3 linked regions of the Macaca fascicularis genome follow. The protein of the gene in region 3 interacts with the protein of the main gene of each other region in a pairwise test. Links are inferred from orthologs where the notes say so. Each region holds a gene or a part of one and is shown on either strand. Other genes may lie near its edges.

What was found.
Region 1: the proteins of LITAF (region 3) and UBQLN1 interact in binary tests that used the Homo sapiens proteins (3 or more experiments, as listed by UniProt). The two-hybrid records come from large-scale screens. The link is inferred for Macaca fascicularis from reciprocal best matches to the Homo sapiens genes LITAF and UBQLN1.
Region 2: the proteins of LITAF (region 3) and HIP1 interact in binary tests that used the Homo sapiens proteins (3 or more experiments, as listed by UniProt). The link is inferred for Macaca fascicularis from reciprocal best matches to the Homo sapiens genes LITAF and HIP1.

What each region holds. Positions count from the first base shown.
Region 1 is NC_088389.1:114,293,017-114,298,704, forward strand, and holds part of UBQLN1 (ubiquilin-1), read right to left. Parts: intron 3,756-5,688; coding exon 3,640-3,755; intron 676-3,639; coding exon 413-675; intron 1-412. UniProt on the Homo sapiens protein: Plays an important role in the regulation of different protein degradation mechanisms and pathways including ubiquitin-proteasome system (UPS), autophagy and endoplasmic reticulum-associated protein degradation (ERAD) pathway.
Region 2 is NC_088377.1:52,095,354-52,101,041, reverse strand, and holds the end of HIP1 (huntingtin-interacting protein 1), read right to left. Parts: intron 4,063-5,688; coding exon 3,954-4,062; intron 3,177-3,953; coding exon of another isoform or gene 3,124-3,176; exon of another isoform or gene 2,686-3,123; coding exon 2,609-2,685; 3' UTR 625-2,608; downstream 1-624. UniProt on the Homo sapiens protein: Plays a role in clathrin-mediated endocytosis and trafficking. Involved in regulating AMPA receptor trafficking in the central nervous system in an NMDA-dependent manner. Regulates presynaptic nerve terminal activity.
Region 3 is NC_088394.1:12,312,003-12,317,790, forward strand, and holds the start of LITAF (lipopolysaccharide-induced tumor necrosis factor-alpha factor), read right to left. Parts: upstream 3,114-5,788; 5' UTR 3,001-3,113; intron 1,219-3,000; 5' UTR 958-1,218; intron 1-957.

The sequences.
Region 1 (5,688 bases), on a different chromosome or scaffold from region 3:
TCACAAATAAAAACCAATTAAAGCTTTAGAGTTGTTGCAATTTTGTATTCAATATACAAGGCAGGAGATTATTTTAAATAATCCCTGGTGTATTTCACCTCAAAAAAGGAACTTAGCATTCAAATAACATAAAGAAGAAAGCACTTCGTTAAGAGTGAATTTCACATCTCCAACATTGGACTTTTTGATTCTTAATCCTTTAAAATAAACTATTTACAAAGATCCCTCAATTTAACAGAAAATTCAGAGTTCAAATAGCCAAATTAGGGCTTTGTTGAGTTTTCTTAAACAAAGATAAGGATTTCTCTCTTTAGCTTAACCATACATATAGGATAATCTCGTTAATCATAGAAAATTACATAACAAATATATCATTTTTTAGCTAAACAAATTGAAAGAACTTTCCACATACTTGTCTCATTATATCTGGATTATTCAACATATGACTAATTTCTGGATTTCTCTGTATCAACTGCTGCATTTGTGGATTGGCCATAATTAATTGTCTCATCAGGTCAGGATTTGAGAGCATGCTCTGAACAAAGGGATTTTCCATGATCTGGACCATCATTTCAGGGTTAGACAAAAGTTGTCGCTGCATCTGACTCTGGAGTTCAGAGAAGTTGGTAGTATTCAAACCCAAGCTACTCAGACCTGCAAGTCCCCCAAGGCCACCTAAGAAGACAAAGGGCAAAAACATACAAACCAAGTCAGAAAATTTATCATTAACATGACATAAACTATGAAGATGCAAAAAAGTATTAGTTGACCCAACAGTCTATCACAAGAAATCATTTAAAAACAAACCGAATACCTATTACTAATATTTAATTCCTATCATTGAAATTAGCCAAAAATTTACACTTTGGTTATTAAATTTAAGTAATAAAATCAACAAAATATATTTTCATGTGTGTAGTATAATACATAAATATATTTGGTCTTTCTCCTTGATCCTGAGTTACTAAAACCTTTGGAATTTTCTGAGTGACAGGAGTATCTTTTATTATTCATTACAAGCCCTTTTTGAAAATTATGCTAATGAAGTGACTTAGGCCCCTGGATAGCCTCAGAAAGGAGCTGGGCACCAGAAAGACAAAGTGATTAAAGGGCTGAAGCTTTCAGCCCCACCCACCAAGAAAGTGAGGGAAGGGAGCTGGAGATAGAGCTCTATGCAAATTCTTGAACAATAAGATTAAGAAAACTCAACATGAAAAGCATATCTGAGTGTTAGGAGAGTTGTGCGCTGAGGGGACCTGGAACCTTTGAGCTGAACTTCCATGCCCCACATACCTTGTGCCCTTATAATTCTCTTTCAAGATTTGTCTGTTTCTGAGTTGTATCCTTTATAATAAACAGGTAAACGTATAAGTGTTTTCTTGAGTTCCAGGTGCCATTCTAGCAATTATTGAACCTGAGGAGGAGGTCAGGGGAACCCCCAATTTAGAACTGGTCAGTCAGAAGTACAGGTGGCCTAGAACTTGTGACTAGTATCTGAAGTAGGGGCAGTCTTGTAGGACTAAGTCTGCTAACTTGTGAGATCGGATACTAACTGTAGGTAGGCAGTATCAGAAAAGAAACTGAATCTTGGACACAGAGCTGGTGTTGGACAACTGGCTGGTGTCAGAAAAAAACACTCCAGAATATGCCAGCTAAAGGAAGAAATAATAAATACACACACCAGACTATAGTTCTAATAATCTTTCCAAAAGACTAGTTTAAGTTCTATTAACAGGAAGCAGAATTCACCTATAAACTCTGGGTACAAGAGGGCTGATACTGCCAATCAAGGATACAGAATGCCAGGGAACACTTGGAAATAGATTTCTCTTTGGAGGACTTAAACCAAGGAGAAACCTAACAGAGCAACAGGATGACCAAGTGCTTACTTTGGTAATCACAAAGTGTTTACTTTGTAAAATTACATAACCAACCAAATGCATTCATTCCTCACTTACTAAGCACTTTTTATATATGCCAGAGACTGTGCTACACATGTATTGAGAATAAGGCAAAGAGAAAGACATTCTCAGAACTCAATCTAGTGGGAAAGACAGACAAGAAAATAAATGTCTACACAGATGTTAAGTACTTCAGTAAAGAATATTCACAGGATATTATGGTAATATAACCTAAGTGGAATGCCTACTTTCAGAAGAAGAGACAACACTTAATGAGTCTGGAGCATAAATACTTTGCAAGGAAACGTAAAGAAGGTTAGGAGGGGGACTGAATACTAGGCACAATGAACACCATATACAAAAAGCACAGAGATAAATGTATTAATGCATTCTTGAAACCACAAAAACTTCAGTATGACTAACTACAGTAGCAGATTGCAGTGCTCACCAAACATTTCATTTTGCAGCCTTATTATTTCTTTTGCACTTGGACAGGCCTATGTGAAATGCCAAAGGACTACAAGAAATGGTATGTGCCACTTCTGGTCAAAGTATAGCAGGTTCAACTTAAAACCCTTTAGCTGTCTCTTCTGCCATGTTCCAAACGGTAGAGCTATAATACAGCAGAATGAAAAACGACTTTCATTACCTTGAGTCTCTGAGGGACTATATGGACGGGCACCTTACAAACCGGTAAAAAGCAAGTAGCATGCAGAAAAATGTAGCAAGAAATGAAGCTTTGTTGTAATAAGCCACTGAGTTTGGCTATCTATTATCAAAAGATAATGGATAACAGCACTTCGGGGGATCACAAGGTCACGAGATCTACACCATCTGGGCTAACACAGTGAAACCCTATCTCTACTAAAAATGCAAACAAATTAGCCGGGCGTGGTGGCACACTCCTGTAATCCCAGCTACTCAGGAGGCTGAGGCAGGAGAATCGCTTGAACCCGGGAGGTGGAGGTTGCAGTGAGCCCAGATCACGCCACTGCACTCCAGCCTGGGCAACAGAGCAAGACTCTGTCTCAAAAAAAAAAAAAAAAAAAAAATCTTCCACAGAACCTCAATATATAAATCTAATACAGGCCAGGCACAGTGGCTCACATCTGTAACCCCAGCATTTTGGGACGCCAAGGCAGGACGCCATAAGCCAGGAGTCTGAAGCTGCAGTGAGCTATGATGGCACCACTGCACTCTAGCCTCAGTGACTGAGCAAGATCCTGCCTCTCTTAAAAAATAAAACAAAACTAATATAATAAAAGCAAAAGCAGTTTTAGGCTAGGCTGGCTTCCCAGACCCCTTTCCATGTGTTCAGGACAGTTACAAAATAACTAATGCAGTCTGATTCTTTCCTTTTACTGATGAAAAAATTATGATTCAGGGACGCTGGCTTATGATTAATAACCAGCTAACAGAGCGAGATTCCGTCTCAAAAAAATAAATAAATAAATAACCAGCTAATCTTACTCATACTAAATTATGTGGTAGTCAGATCAGGTACACACACACTACATCTCTTTCATTATTAAAAAGAAAGGCACCAACTGATATGTAAGAATATCCATATCCCTACCTATTTCCTTAATATCTACAATTATAGGAATATATAAGTTTTTTTTTAAATTTTTGTTGTTAAAGTGACATAACGTTTTCTTTTCTCATTTTATCTGAAGCTACCCAGGAAGGGAAAGGAGTATTTTTTCCCATCCCTATGGAGATGACTAAAGACACTTACCTAAACCAAAAGGGTTGCTAGTAGCAGAACCAGATGTGGAGTTACTATTAGGAGTTGATGATGTGGTAACATTGCTTCCAGCGGTATTTGTTTGCTGAGCTGAATGATCCTGAGGCCTAGGGAAAATAATTAATCACAGAGTAAGCAGTAGAGCTGATTATTTTTGAAAGAACCACTGAAATCCTGACATCTAGAAATAAAGAGTAAACTCTCAGATGAAATCAAATTATCATTTAATAAAAAGCCTGAGAAAACTAAGCGTTAGGAACAAAAAGTACAAAATAAAATAAAATCCTGCAAAATACAAAATATGCTGCAATTGCCCCTCCTCTCTGAGTATAACGTACATAAATATTTCATTAGTTTTAATCATATTGCTTATGTAACAGAGGGAGATAGGTTATTTCATAAGAGGGAAGTCAGTAACCAGTTACACCCACAAAGTTTGACTATATAAAAAACTTCTTTATCTTGGCCAGGTGTGGTGGCTCACGCCTGTAATCCCAGCACTTTGGGAGGCCGAGGCAGGTGGATCGCCTGAGGTCAGGAGTTCAAGACCAGTCTGGCCAACATGGTAAAACCCTGTATCTACTAAAAATACAAAAATTAGCCAGGAGTGGTGGTGCATGCCTGTAATCCCAGCTACTCAGGAGGCTGAGGAAGGAGGATTGCTTGAACCTAGGAGGTGGAGGTTGTAGTGAGCCAAGATTGTACCACTGCACTCCAACCTGGGCGACAGAGTGAGACTCTTTAAAAACAAACAAACAAAAAAACCCACAACTTTTTTATCTATCCCCTTCTAGTTTTTGAGGGTTATGAGCCAGTTTTACTAAGGCCCCTGAAATTCTTGAAAACAATAAAAAGTGAGAGTTCACCAAAAGAAAGTCAATCAATATGATTAATAATTATTACCTTTTTTTTTTTTTTTTAAAGACAAAGTCTTGCTCTGTCACCCAGGCTGGAGGTGCAGTGGCATGATTTCGGCTCACTGTAACCTCCCCCTCCCAGGTTCAAGCGATTCTCCTGCCTCAGCCTCCTGAGTAGCTGGGACCACAGGTGCACATCACTGTGCCGGGGCTATTTTTTGTATTTTTAGTAGAGATGGGGTTTCACCATGTTGACTAGGTTGCTCTGGAACTCTTGACCTCAGGTGATGGCCCTGCCTCACCCTCCCAAAGCGCTCAGATTACAGGCGTGAGCCACTGTGCCTGGCCTGATTATTATTTAGTATTATCTCTAAAAGGAAATAAGCCAGGCAAGGTGGCTCACACCTGTAAAGCCAGCACTTTGGGAGGCCTGATCTGAGGTCAGGCGTCTGTGACGAGCCTGGCCAACATAGGGAAACCCCATCTCTATTAAAAATACAAAATTAGCTGGGCATGGTGGCGCATGCCTGTAATTCCAGCTACTTGGGAGGCTGAGGCAGGAGAATCACTTGAGCCTGGAGGCAGACGTTGGAGTGAGCCGAGATCGTGCCACTGCACTCCAGCCTGGGCGACAAGAGCAAAATTCGTCTCAAAAAAAAAAAAAAAGTAAAGAAATAAAGAAAACCTTTCCATGATACCAGACAAGAGTTTTGAATCTCACTCCTTGCTTCTTTCCCTGACTTTAGCTAAGCACACATTTTTCCATTTTAACATCTCTGAAATCAGGATCTGTCTTTCAATTGCTGACAGCCAGGCATCAACTACATTCCTGCACATGTAGTCTACATGACTTCAACTGAATGCCTGGCTACACTGTTGTACCATACATGACAGGCTTAATTACCACATTAAGTGTCTTCAAAAAAATTACACCATTAATCGGCACTGACAGAAGTTATCATGTATTCAGAATAGCACCAAAATAGAAGGAATATTTTGAATGAGTAAAGCAAGTATTTGCTGTTGGTGAATACCAGCATAAAAACTTACAGAATGAGTGTTAATGGCTTGGAACAAAATCCTGGAGAAAATACTGGAGAGCTCTTTTAAGAAATGCTGCACCACCAACACTCTTTGACAGAACAGAATTTGATACTGTATGAAAAAATATGGACACTGACAA
Region 2 (5,688 bases), on a different chromosome or scaffold from region 3:
CTATTATGAAAGTAATTATGTGACATCTGACAGTTACTTCCTCATGTGACACTGACTTAGCCTCTGCTTCTGTTTAAGTGCTTTCTTAACTGTTATGACTCAGGTAAGTCGACGAAGGTTTTAAACATTTCTGTGGCTTTAAAAACAAACAATTTTTTGTTTGTTTTTAAAGAGATGGAGTCTTGCTCTGTCACTCAGGCTGGAGTGCAGTGGTGCAATCACGGCTCATTGCAGCCTCAAACTCCTGGGCTGGGCTCGGACAGAGAATCTTTTTTTTTTTTTGTGACAGGGTCTCACTCCGTCACCCAGGCTGGAGTGCAGTGGCACAGTCAGGGCTGACTGCAGCCTCAACTTCCCAAGCTCAAGCAATTCTCCCACCTCAGCTCCCCAACTAGCCGAGACTACAGGCATGTGCACCATCATACCCGGCTAATTTTGTTTTTGAATTTTAGTAGAGACGAGGTCTCGCTATGATGCCCAGCCTGGTCTCAAACTCCTGAGCTCAAGCAATCCTCCCGCCTTGGCCTCCTAAAGTGCTGGGATTACAGGCGTGAGCCACTGTGCTCAGCTGGGCAGAGAATCTTAATTTGATCCAGTACACTAGACTTTTTGCCCCATTTGTAATTTGTTTTTTTTGGTTTTTTTGGAGACGGAGTTTTGCTCTTGTTGCCCAGGCTGGAGTACAATGGCGTGATCTCAGCTCACTGCAACCTCTGCCTCCGGGGTTCAGGAGATTCTCCTGTCTCAGCCTCCTGAGTAGCTGGGATTACAGGCACCCGCCACTATGCTTGGCTAATTTTTGGTATTTTTAGTAGAGACGGGGTTTCACCACATTAGCCAGGCTGGTCTCGAACTCCTGACCTCAGGTGATCCACCTGCCTTGGCCTCTCAAAGTGCTGGGATTACAGGCGTGAGCCACGGGTACAGTGGTGCCCGGCCACCCCATTGGTAATTTGAAACGTATGAGTTGGAATGGCTGAGATCTAGAAGTGAGGACTAGCTACTTTTGGAAATGTTGACCCGCATCAAGAACACACTGATTGGTTTAGTTGCCACAACTGGGACAGGGAAGCCATGCACCATTCCTTCTGAGCCTTGAATAAAAAAAAAATACTAAGCAGAAAGCAGCATTCAACACAAGACTGCCCAATTTCTGGTGCTGATACTTCCTTAGCCCAGTATGGAGGTCACACCTCTGAGTATGGTCATCCGAGGTCCTGGGAGAGAGTTTTTTGAATGTCCCACTTAGAAAATGCACAGAGAGGGAGTTGGGGAGGGGGGTGGGCTAGGGAGATGGGGGTTGGTTCACAGTGATCAAACAGAAGTCTCACAACCCGTCATGTAGCAAAACCTAGCAATGTTCTGTTGGGGCAGATCCTGGGAAGTGCATGATGGCTACCACCAATGAGTTGCTATAGATAAAGAAGGAAGACGCTGTTTTTCCAAGATCAGAAGGTCACTTAAATGCTGGGGTCCATCTAGAACAGGAAAAGTGCTGTTGGGCTGCCCATCCCTGGCAAACTGTTCATGTGCCCTCTGTCCTCATCCTGTCCACAGGGCAGCGAGAGCCTGGGGCATATGGCTGAAAGGAGTTAGAGCCGCTGGCTCTGTCCTTTCTCGTTTTCTCTGACTCAAGAGCTCTGAATGATCTCCTTGCTTTGGGATCCAAGTCAGTAACAGTCCAGCACCTTGGCCTTGCTTCTGATTCTTGAAGGCTGATGTAGCCGGGCAGAAAGATGAGCCTTGCTATAGTCACACCTGAAGTCCTGATTGCTCCAAGCATCTCTTTGTAGGCTGTTGCTGCTTAAGGGAGGTTAGTAATAAATACTAAGGGTAGCAAACCAAGTATAGAGTTCTTTCCTGTTGGGAGCAATTGCGTCTGATCTTCCGGGTTTGTCAATTGCGTAGAAGGTGGAACGATCTTTTTATTCAAGAGGATGCCAAGGCAGACGTCTGCAGAAAGGAGTTGGGAATCGCTCCCACGCTCCCTCTCTGGGCCAAGGGAGATGGCCCACTTGACACAGACCGTTCATGGACAGTTCATTCCGGCGGGGAAGTAGTGTTGATCTCACCAGTTCCATTCAAGCATGTGATAAAAATTTTTGAGCCTGGTCACAGGAACTCCTAAGAAACGTGTCCTGTGAAGACCTGGGCTGTGTGAACCCTCTTGTCCCTCTTTCTGTTGTCTTCTCCCTTGTGAAGGTGGACAGAGGCTTTCCGCTGGGGTTCAGCTTTAGGAGGGAAAGGCACTCACTCCTTCTGCCTTTTGAGGAAAGCTGTCACTCAGCAGCTCCGCCTGACCCTGGAGCATGGACTGGGTGGGCCAGCACTTGCTCAGCGTGGAGGCGGAGGTGGAGCACCGAGAGGCCTGGACAGCACCATCGCCGGAGCTGCCACAGTGGGGGGCCCTGGAGACTCAGCTCCAGGTGTGTGCCCTTTGGGAGAGTTGGCTATGTGAGTGAAACTTAAAAAAAAAAAAATACAACCAAAAAACCCAACCAACCACCATAAGAAGCAGTGGAAATCCATGGCACTGCCCAAAGAAGGGGAGAATGGCCTTGGCATTCACAGCCAGGACACTCCTGCTGTCCTTCTGACTGTGCAGATTTCAGGGTAGTGTCCTGGTTTGGAATCCATCAGCCCTCTGATGCTCACAAGTTTGTGCAAATGATGAAACTGAAAAGACTGAGAAGAAAACAGAAAAGAAAAGGCGTAAGATCTTCCCTCTCCAAGCTGTCAACGAACAACAAGCAGCCCCTCTATTAAGGATACCCATTGTTGTGGGGGTCAAATAGTCAGCAGGACTGGATGGAAGTCCTCTCTGTTGAGTGGCCCTATCCCCCACCACCCCTCTTTGCACCTAGGCTTGCTCATGGGCAGCACTGGCCAGCCTGGATGCTAACTAGGGAGGCGGGGAAAGAACAGAGATGACCATGAGTCCAAACAGAAAGGGTGTCGCTATGGAGGGAGTCTTTGGAAGTGTCATGCAGGTCCTCGGCATTGGGTAATGGCAGTGGTGTGGCTGCCCCTGGGACTCCAAGGATTTGGCCTGTGGCTGGGGAAATGACACACACGAGATAGGTAATAAGGATTTACACTGACATATGGGGTATCGGTTTGGCTCTATTCTTTTTCGGTTACCGCTTCTTGCAGTGTAGGTGGAGATGCCTCTGTTCCTAAAAGACAATGATAATTTATGTTGCAAAGCACTTCATGCATGCATACACTCACTTAACCAAAAAACCTGCCACCATGGGGGCTCAAAAATACATTATAATTATAACCATGGTGTAATCACCTAGTCCCCGAGTTTGGTGTCTAGGAATGACTAGGATCTGTCTATGGTTGGTGCCCAGAGTCTGTCAAATCCCATAACAGTCAACAATCTTGGTTGTGATCAAGTTGACTGCTTTCGACATGCAGACAGCAACATATAGACTCAAGGTGATGGATGGCAAGTCTCTGGGCTGGCAGGCTGAATGTGACTCCATGCCACTCCGTTTCTCAGCACCTGATCCCTTCTATCCTTTGGCAATTGTTGCCCTTCACTGGCTCTAGATAGTCAGAATCTTGTAATTCACTTGTCCCTGTCTGCCAGATCTCCACTGACCACTATTCTTTCGTTTTTCAACTCTCTGCTGGCCAGAAACTAAATTCCCAGGGAGTTAGCAAGGCTAGCTGGGCCTGGGAGGGAATGGCAGTGAATGAGTTATGATCAATGTTTAGGTCTTAAAAGGTGACAACAAAAGCTTTTAATTCACCATAATTTCACCCAGAGTTAGACTTAAAGGTTATTTACAACAGAAGAGAAAATAGGTTCCATGAGGAGAGAAGAGAAGGAAGAAGCCACTGATCTGGTGGGTTCCTTGTTCTGTTCCATTCTAGGGGAAGGCCCTGTCACACAGCTTCCCCTCCCTGCTGTGGGTTAGTGCCCGTCCTTGGAGTCAGCTCACCTTCTTCCCAGCCCTCAGCAACACCAGCAAGCTCGTAGTGCTTTTTCCGAAGCTCTCCCAGTTTTTGACGCTCCTTCTGCAATTCATTTTCTAGCTCTAGCACCCTAACCTGTAAGGAAAGTGAGTGGGATTTTCTTTTGATCAGCTCTCTGAGATTTAATTTTTATGTATATTTTTTATAGAGATGGGGTCTTGCTCTGCTGCCCAGGCTGGTAGTGAACTCCTGGCCTCAGGAGATCCTCCTGTCTTGGCCTCCCAAAGTGCTGAGATTACAGGCATGAAACACCATGCCCAGCCTACATCTATCTTATTTTGATTACCCCCTTTCTGCTGCATTGTGAATTCCTCTTCTTCTGCATTATTCACCCTGTTTCCATACTTTATCTAGTCCTCAATTTCTGTTCTCTTTTTGCTCTAATTTTTCCATTCTCCGATTCATTTATCTATCCCAGTAGCTCTTATGTTTTACTCACTGTGATCCTCTACTGGAAGTGAATGATGCTTTACAAATACCTAAATGGGAGGTGGGCTTATCTTCTGTTGCTCTGATAAATCACTATCTAAAAACAACTTTAATGTTTAGCCTAACTGTATGGTGAGTGCCAATCTAGTTGTAAACCTTCTTCAATTCCAGTTCCCTGGAAACCCAGGTAGGAACCAAGTATGATGGTTCTGATATCTTTCAGGTATTTGTGCAACTTAGGCTTATTACTGCTACAGGAAAAAGCATGGACAGTCTTACTAAAGGAAAAGGTGATCTTGCCTAGCTCTACTTCTCATTAATGTAATTTATTTTATTTCTTAATTCAAGGAATATTTGCTGGCCAGGCACAGTGGTTCATGCCTGTAATCCCAGCACTTTGGGAGGTCAACGTGGGTGGATCATTTGAGGTCAGGAGTTTAAGACTAGCCTGACCAACATGATGAAACCCCATCTCTACTAAAAATATACAAAATTAGCCAGGTGTGGTGGTGCATGCCTGTAATCCCAGCAACTTGGGAAGTTGAGGCAGGAGAATTGCTTGAACCCAGGAGGCAGAGATTGCAGTGAGCCAAGATCACACCATTGCACTCCAGCCTGGGCAACAAGAGCAAAATTCCATCTCAAAAAAAAAAAAAAAAAAAAAAAAAAGGAATATTTGCTGAGCACTGATCATGTCCCTGCTTACCTTATAGAGGGAAAAGACAAATGAAGGAGAAAGATCAGATTGCAAAGAAATGACACAGGGAAGTGTAATAAAGCCTAAGAATAGTCAGCCAGGTCTAGTCTCAGAAAGTCATTTTTCAGCTTTTGTGGCCTTAAGAGCTCAGCTGCCTGGAGACCTGGAGAATAATATTCCAGGCAGAAGAAACAGCCAGAGCAAAGGCTCTAAAGCAAGACAGATCTGGAGGTGTTGGGAGAAGGAAGGAAGTTGTATATGAGACATATGATAGAGGGGTAGGGTTGCAGGATGAAGTTGAGAACCAGGCAAGGATCATTTTTCACCCAGGCTCATGACCTGATGAGGAGCTTGGATGTTGTACATGCAATGAAAAGCCACTGGGAGGATTTAAGCAGAGAGGGGACATCCTGAGATTTACATTTCTAAACTATCACATGGGGAATGAATGGACTGTAGAGGGTCAAGAGTAGAAGCAACTAGACCCAGTGAAGTGGTTCCTTTTTTGTTTTGAAACAACTTTTTATTATGGAAAAAGTAAAACATCTACAGAGGGACGGAGACTAGCAGAGTGA
Region 3 (5,788 bases):
TTTTGTAGAGATGGAATTTTGCCATGTTGCCCAGGTTGGTCTTGGACTCCTGAGCTCAAGCAATCCACTGACCTTGGCCTCCAGAAGTGCTGGGATTTACAGGCGTGAGCCACTGCACCTGGCCGAAACAATTTTTGTTTTGTTTTGTTTTGTTTTGTTTGAGTCGGAGTTTCGCTCTTTTACCCAGACTGGAGTGCAGTGGTGTGATCTCAGCTCACTGCAGCCTTTACCTTCTGGGTTCAAGCGATTCTCCTGTCTCAGCCTCCTGAGTAGCTGGGATTACAGGCACTTGCCACCACATCGGGCGATTTTTTTTTTATTTGGCATTTTTATTAGGGATGGATTTTACCATGTTGACCAGGCTGGTCTCACACTCCTGACCTCAAGAGATCCGCCCGCCTCAGCCTCCCAGTGTTGGGATTACAGGCGGGAGCCACCACGCACAGCTGACAAATTATTTTTAAAATCCAAAATGTTTCTATTTCCTATTTTAATGCAGAAAAGTGTTACCCTGAACACTGACCTAATGCATCACGTATAACATGGTTCTAGGTCAACTACAAAGGGCCTCTCCACTTTGATTTTTTCATGCGTCTTACATTTCAGTATCTTTACTCTTCCATGGAAACTTCGCTTCTTTAAGCCGGATGGGATCTGAGCGAGCGCCCCTTGCTACAGGGGGGAAGCCCTTGCCTCTCAGATACCTACCTTCCCAGACACCCCCTACCAAGCTTCTTTTTTGTTTTTGAGTCAGGGTTTGCTCTGTCACCCAAGCTGGAACACAGTGGCACAATCTTGGCTCACTGTAGCCTCTACCTCCCGGGCTCAGGTGATCCTCCCACCTCAGCTTCCCAAGTGGCTGAGGCTACAGGCACACACCACCAAGCCTGGCTAAACAAGCTTCTTCCAACCTGATCCCACCCCCCTAGGAACCCGGGTGTAGACGGCCTCTCTTACCTTTGCTGCACACGCGTCGCTCCTTCCTAGCCCCAGGGGCTGTGTCATGCACATGACCAAGGCTGGCCAGTAGCTACCCAGCATCTCCTGAGCCTCATTGATTGCTCCAGTGATGGGCATGTGATCCAAGCTGAGCCAATGACAATCAACCCCAAGACCCTTGCTGAAGCTCCTTGAATAAGACGAATTGTTTACAAGGCTGGTGAGATGAAAGCCTGGAGCTGTCCGGCACCATCTTTACCAGCAGGTAGAGCAAGCCCACTGGAGAATGAATCCAAGACGGAGAACAGCAGGGCTTGGAGATGGAGACAGGTCCCTGACAGCATGGTCCGAGCTTCTGGATCCAGCCAGGCCTGAAGCTCTTGCCCTCCCCACTTCCCAGTGACACAATACATTCTGCAATGGCATAAGCCAATTCCAGTGGGATTCTGGTTTTTGCAGCATTCTGCTATTCATCCTGACTAATGTACTAGACTTAAAAAAACACAAGGCCTGGGTGCGGTGGCTCATGCCTATAATCCCAGCATTTCGGGAGGCAGAGGTGGGCAGATCACCTGAGGTCAGCAGTTCGAGACCAGCCTGGCCAACATGGCAAAATGCCATCTCTACTAAAAATACAAAAATTAGCCAGGTATGGTGGTGCACGCCTGTAGCCCCAGCTACTCTGGAGGCTGACGCAGGAGAATGACTTGAACCCGGGAGGCAGAGGTTGCAGTGAGCCGAGAACGTGCCACTGTGCTCCAGCCTGGGTAACAGAGCAAAACTCCATCTCAAAAAATAAATAAAAATTCAAAAATTAGCTGGGCGTGGTAGCACACGCCTGTAGTCCCAGCTACTCGGGAGACTGAGGCAGGAAATCATTTGAACCCAGGAGGCGGAGGTTGCAGTGAGATTGCATCAGTGTACTCCAGCCTGGGCGACAAACTGAGACTCTGTCAAAAAAAAAAAAAAAAAAGCCTGTGATTCTCCATTGGCCCAAAACAAGCACAGTCCTGCAGAACACAAAGACACAGTTGCTCCTTGAAAGATTCACAGGAAGGGAAAAATACTTCCCATTCTGTTGTAATGAATCAATACCCAAATAAGACCTGGTTCGTTTCTCAAGCAGGTAATCCTGCCCAACAGCCATGACTCATCCCAGCCCCAACCAGCCCTGAGGTTGGTGGGGCCCCAGATAACTCGCTATACCTGGGGCCGCCCCAGATTTTCCATGTTCACGTGTCTTCTCTCCTTTCACTTCTAGCTAAGAGTCCTGAGAACTCTTTCTAGAGTTCCAAGTAAACACTTTGCAGAACGCCCAACCCAGATCAACACACAGTAGATGCTCTCAGCGCACAAGGAGACATCCGGAGATCTTGCTTTTACTGAAAGTATCCAATCAAAGGGAAAAGACAAAGTTGGTCTTGACCCTTTGTATTTTTATAATTTTTTTTTTCTTTTAGCCAAGCTCTTGCTCTGTTGCCCAGGCTGGAGTGCAGTGGCACGATCATAGCTCGTTGCAGCCTCAAACTCCTAGAGTCAAGGGATCTTCATGCCTCAGCCTCCAAGTAGCTGAGATTACAGGTATGTGCCACCACGGCTAGCTATTATTTTTTTTTTTTACTTTTTATTTTTTGAGACTGAGTCTTGCTCTGTCATCCAGGCTGGAGTACTGTGGCGTGTTCTCGGCTCACTGCAACCTCCACCTCCCGGGTTCAAGTGATTCTCCTGCCTCAGCATCCCTAGTAGCTGGGATTTCAGGCGCACACCACCATGCCCAGCTAATTTTTGTATTTTAGTAGAGATGGGGTTTCGCCATGCTGGCCAGGCTGGTCTCGAACTCCTGACCTCAAGTGATCTGCCCACCTTTGCCTCCCAAAGTGCTGGAATTACAGGCGTGGGTCACTGCTCCCAGCCTATTTTAGTTTTTTTAGAGAATGGCATCTCACTATCTTGCCCAGACTGGCCTTGAACTCCTGGCCTCAAGTAATCCTCCCGCCTCACCCTCCCAGAGTGCTGGGATTACAGGCATGAGCCACAGCACCCGGCCTCACCCCCTCTTACCAAGTGCTGAGCTGGCACCCAGGACCTCAGCAGCAAAGGGAGCTTCACAGGCATCAGATGAGGAAGGCTCAGAAGGCTGAGCACAGGGAAGGAGGCTCTGTCTGCAGGACACTGAGGACTTTGGGGAAGGCACTCAGCCGGGAAGTCAGACATGACCTCATCCTAGTTGAGGTTCCCTAGAAGCAGAGCCTGTGATGGAGATGTGGGTGCATGTGGTTTTCTGGAAGTGAGGGTTCTCGGAAGAGGAGAGTAAGGAGACAAGGGGCAGGAGGAAGAACAGCAGACAGGTCCCAGCTGGAGACCTGATCCCAGGGCAGGTCTGAAGCATGAGTTTTCTGAGTCAGTCCTGCCCAGAGGCAAGGGGGCCCTGCTGAGGACCTGTCCTCGGTCAGTCGGTCCCTCTGGGCTGCCAAGAAGGGTGGGTGAGGGGTGGGAAACAGCTGTGAGCAGTCAGCGGCTACACTTGAAGCCGCCGGCCCCTTCCTTCCTCTTCTTGGCTGCACACCTGCTTTTGGGGAAGGAGCTTGTGAACCGGTTGCAGCCGGGGTGGGAAGAATTAAAGAGACACTCCTGAGCTCAGTGCTTGAGGGCCCAGGGCTTCAGAGGCCGAGGCAGCTGGGATCGAATCTTGATTCTGGGTTGACTCAAGTCTCCTGCATGGAGCTCCAGGGGCGCACAGCTCATGGGGTGCGGTACGGATCACCATGGCCATGTGCTAGGCGCTTTTTCCCCAACAGCCCGGCGCATGGCAAGTGCTCAATGAATCATGGCTTTGCAAACATCTCCAAGTGTCACAGGCCTGGCCTCTATGGTGGGAGATTTACCATCAGTCGCCAGGTGTTGGGGAGGGAAGAGAAGGAGTTCCGGTGTCTTCCTGAACTCATTCCAGCACCCACAGGCGCTGAGTGCACTTCTACCTGGGTCAGGTCTTGCTCCTTCTCACTGAGTGTGAGGCGGACACACAGGACCCCGGCAGAATGGAGGTCATGAGAGTCCAGATAGGAACCAGACCCGTGGCCTTGGGGGGATCCAGACCTCTGTGTTTGGGAGTCCTGGCTTCCCCAACTTCCCCTCCTAGCCTCAGCCCCTATGGATGGGAAAAGTACTCCCAACTGGCATGACCAATCGATTGGTTTGGGGCACAAATCTGGGTCCTCTCCGAGGAGCAACTTGGCAGGAGGTACAGGCAGTCTGGCCTTGGCCTTGGCCTGAGTGCTACTTTGAAAGTGCTTCAAACTCGCCAATGATGTTCTAAAGCCCTGATGACAAACCCCAGCCTTCCGCAGGCCCTGCTCTGGCGGGGACACCCCTTGGGCCTCATTGCAAACCACACGACCCACCTCCTGTGCCCCGCCTGCTCCAGGCACACGGGAGTCCCTGTTGCTCTACAGCTTCAGGTCTCTCGGGCGGCAGTGCCTTCCCCTACCTGCCCGTGGCCAGCTTGTCTTTTTTTTTTTGGTAGTCAGACAGGGTCTCATTCTGTCGCCTAGGCTGGAGTGCAGTGGTGAGATTAAAGCTCACCTCAGCCTCACCACAATCCTCCCACCTCAGCTTCCTAGATAGCTGGGACTACAGGCACCCACCACCACATCCAGATAATGTTTTTATTTTATTTTTTTTTCCTAGAGACAGGGGTTGGGGTGATCTCACTATGTTGGCCAGGCTGGTCTTGAACTCCTGGCCTCAAGTGATCCTCCTGCCTCAGCCTCCCAAAGTGCTAAGATCACATGCATGGGCCACGGTGCCCGGCCTGCCATTACCTTTGACACATGGACAAGAGGTAGCCACCCGTGAGTAGCAGTAGCCACGATAATAGCAATCATTTCTCTTTGCACCCGACTCATTTAAGCACTGTCTGCTTATTTTTGATATTATTGTCCCTGTTTTACATTTGCAGAAACTGAGGCTTAACAAAGTTAAAGTCACCTGCCCGTAGCATGTGGTGGATTTGGGATTTGGACTCAGGGCTGCAGAAAATAAATAACCAGGTTGCCATGGCGTAAGTGCACTGCAGGAGAAGTTGCTTACAGGTGAGGTATCAATGTCCTGTGGCTGCAATTATCACATTACCACAAACTGAGGTGCTTAAAATGACAGCAATGCATTCTCTGTTCTAGAGTCTAAAAGCTTGAAATCAAAATGTCATCAGGACCACCTCCCCCTGGAGGATCTGAGGAGGGTCCTTTCTTGCTTCTTTCTGCTTCTGATGGCTCCAGGCATCCTGGGGCAGGGGGCTGCATCACTCTGCACATGGCCTTTTTTTTTTTTTTTTTGAGACAGGCTCTCACTCTGTTGCCCAGGCTGGAGTGCAGTGGCGTGAACATAGCTCACTACAGCCACAACCTCCTGAGCTTAGATGATCCTCAGCCTTCTAAGTAGCCAGGACTACAGGCACACGCAACCACAGCTGGCTAATTTTTTTGTATTTTTGGTAGAGAGGGGGTTTCACTACATTGCCCAGTCTGGTCGCGAATTCCTCGGCTCAAATGATTCACCCTCCTCAGCCTCCCAAAGCGCTGGGATTACAGGTGTGAGCCATGGTGCCCGGTCACCACATGGCCCCTTCTCTCCCGTGTGTCTGTAGCTTAAAGCTCCTTCTTCGTTTTTCTTAGGCAGACACCTGTCATTGGGTTTAGAACCCACCCTAAATCCAGGATGATTTCATCTCGAGATTCTTAACTTGATGACATCTGCAAAGACCGTATTTTCTTTCTTTTCTTTTCTTCTTTTTTTTTTTTTTTTTTTTTTTTGAGACAGAGTCTCGCTCTGTCACCAGGCTGGAGTGCAG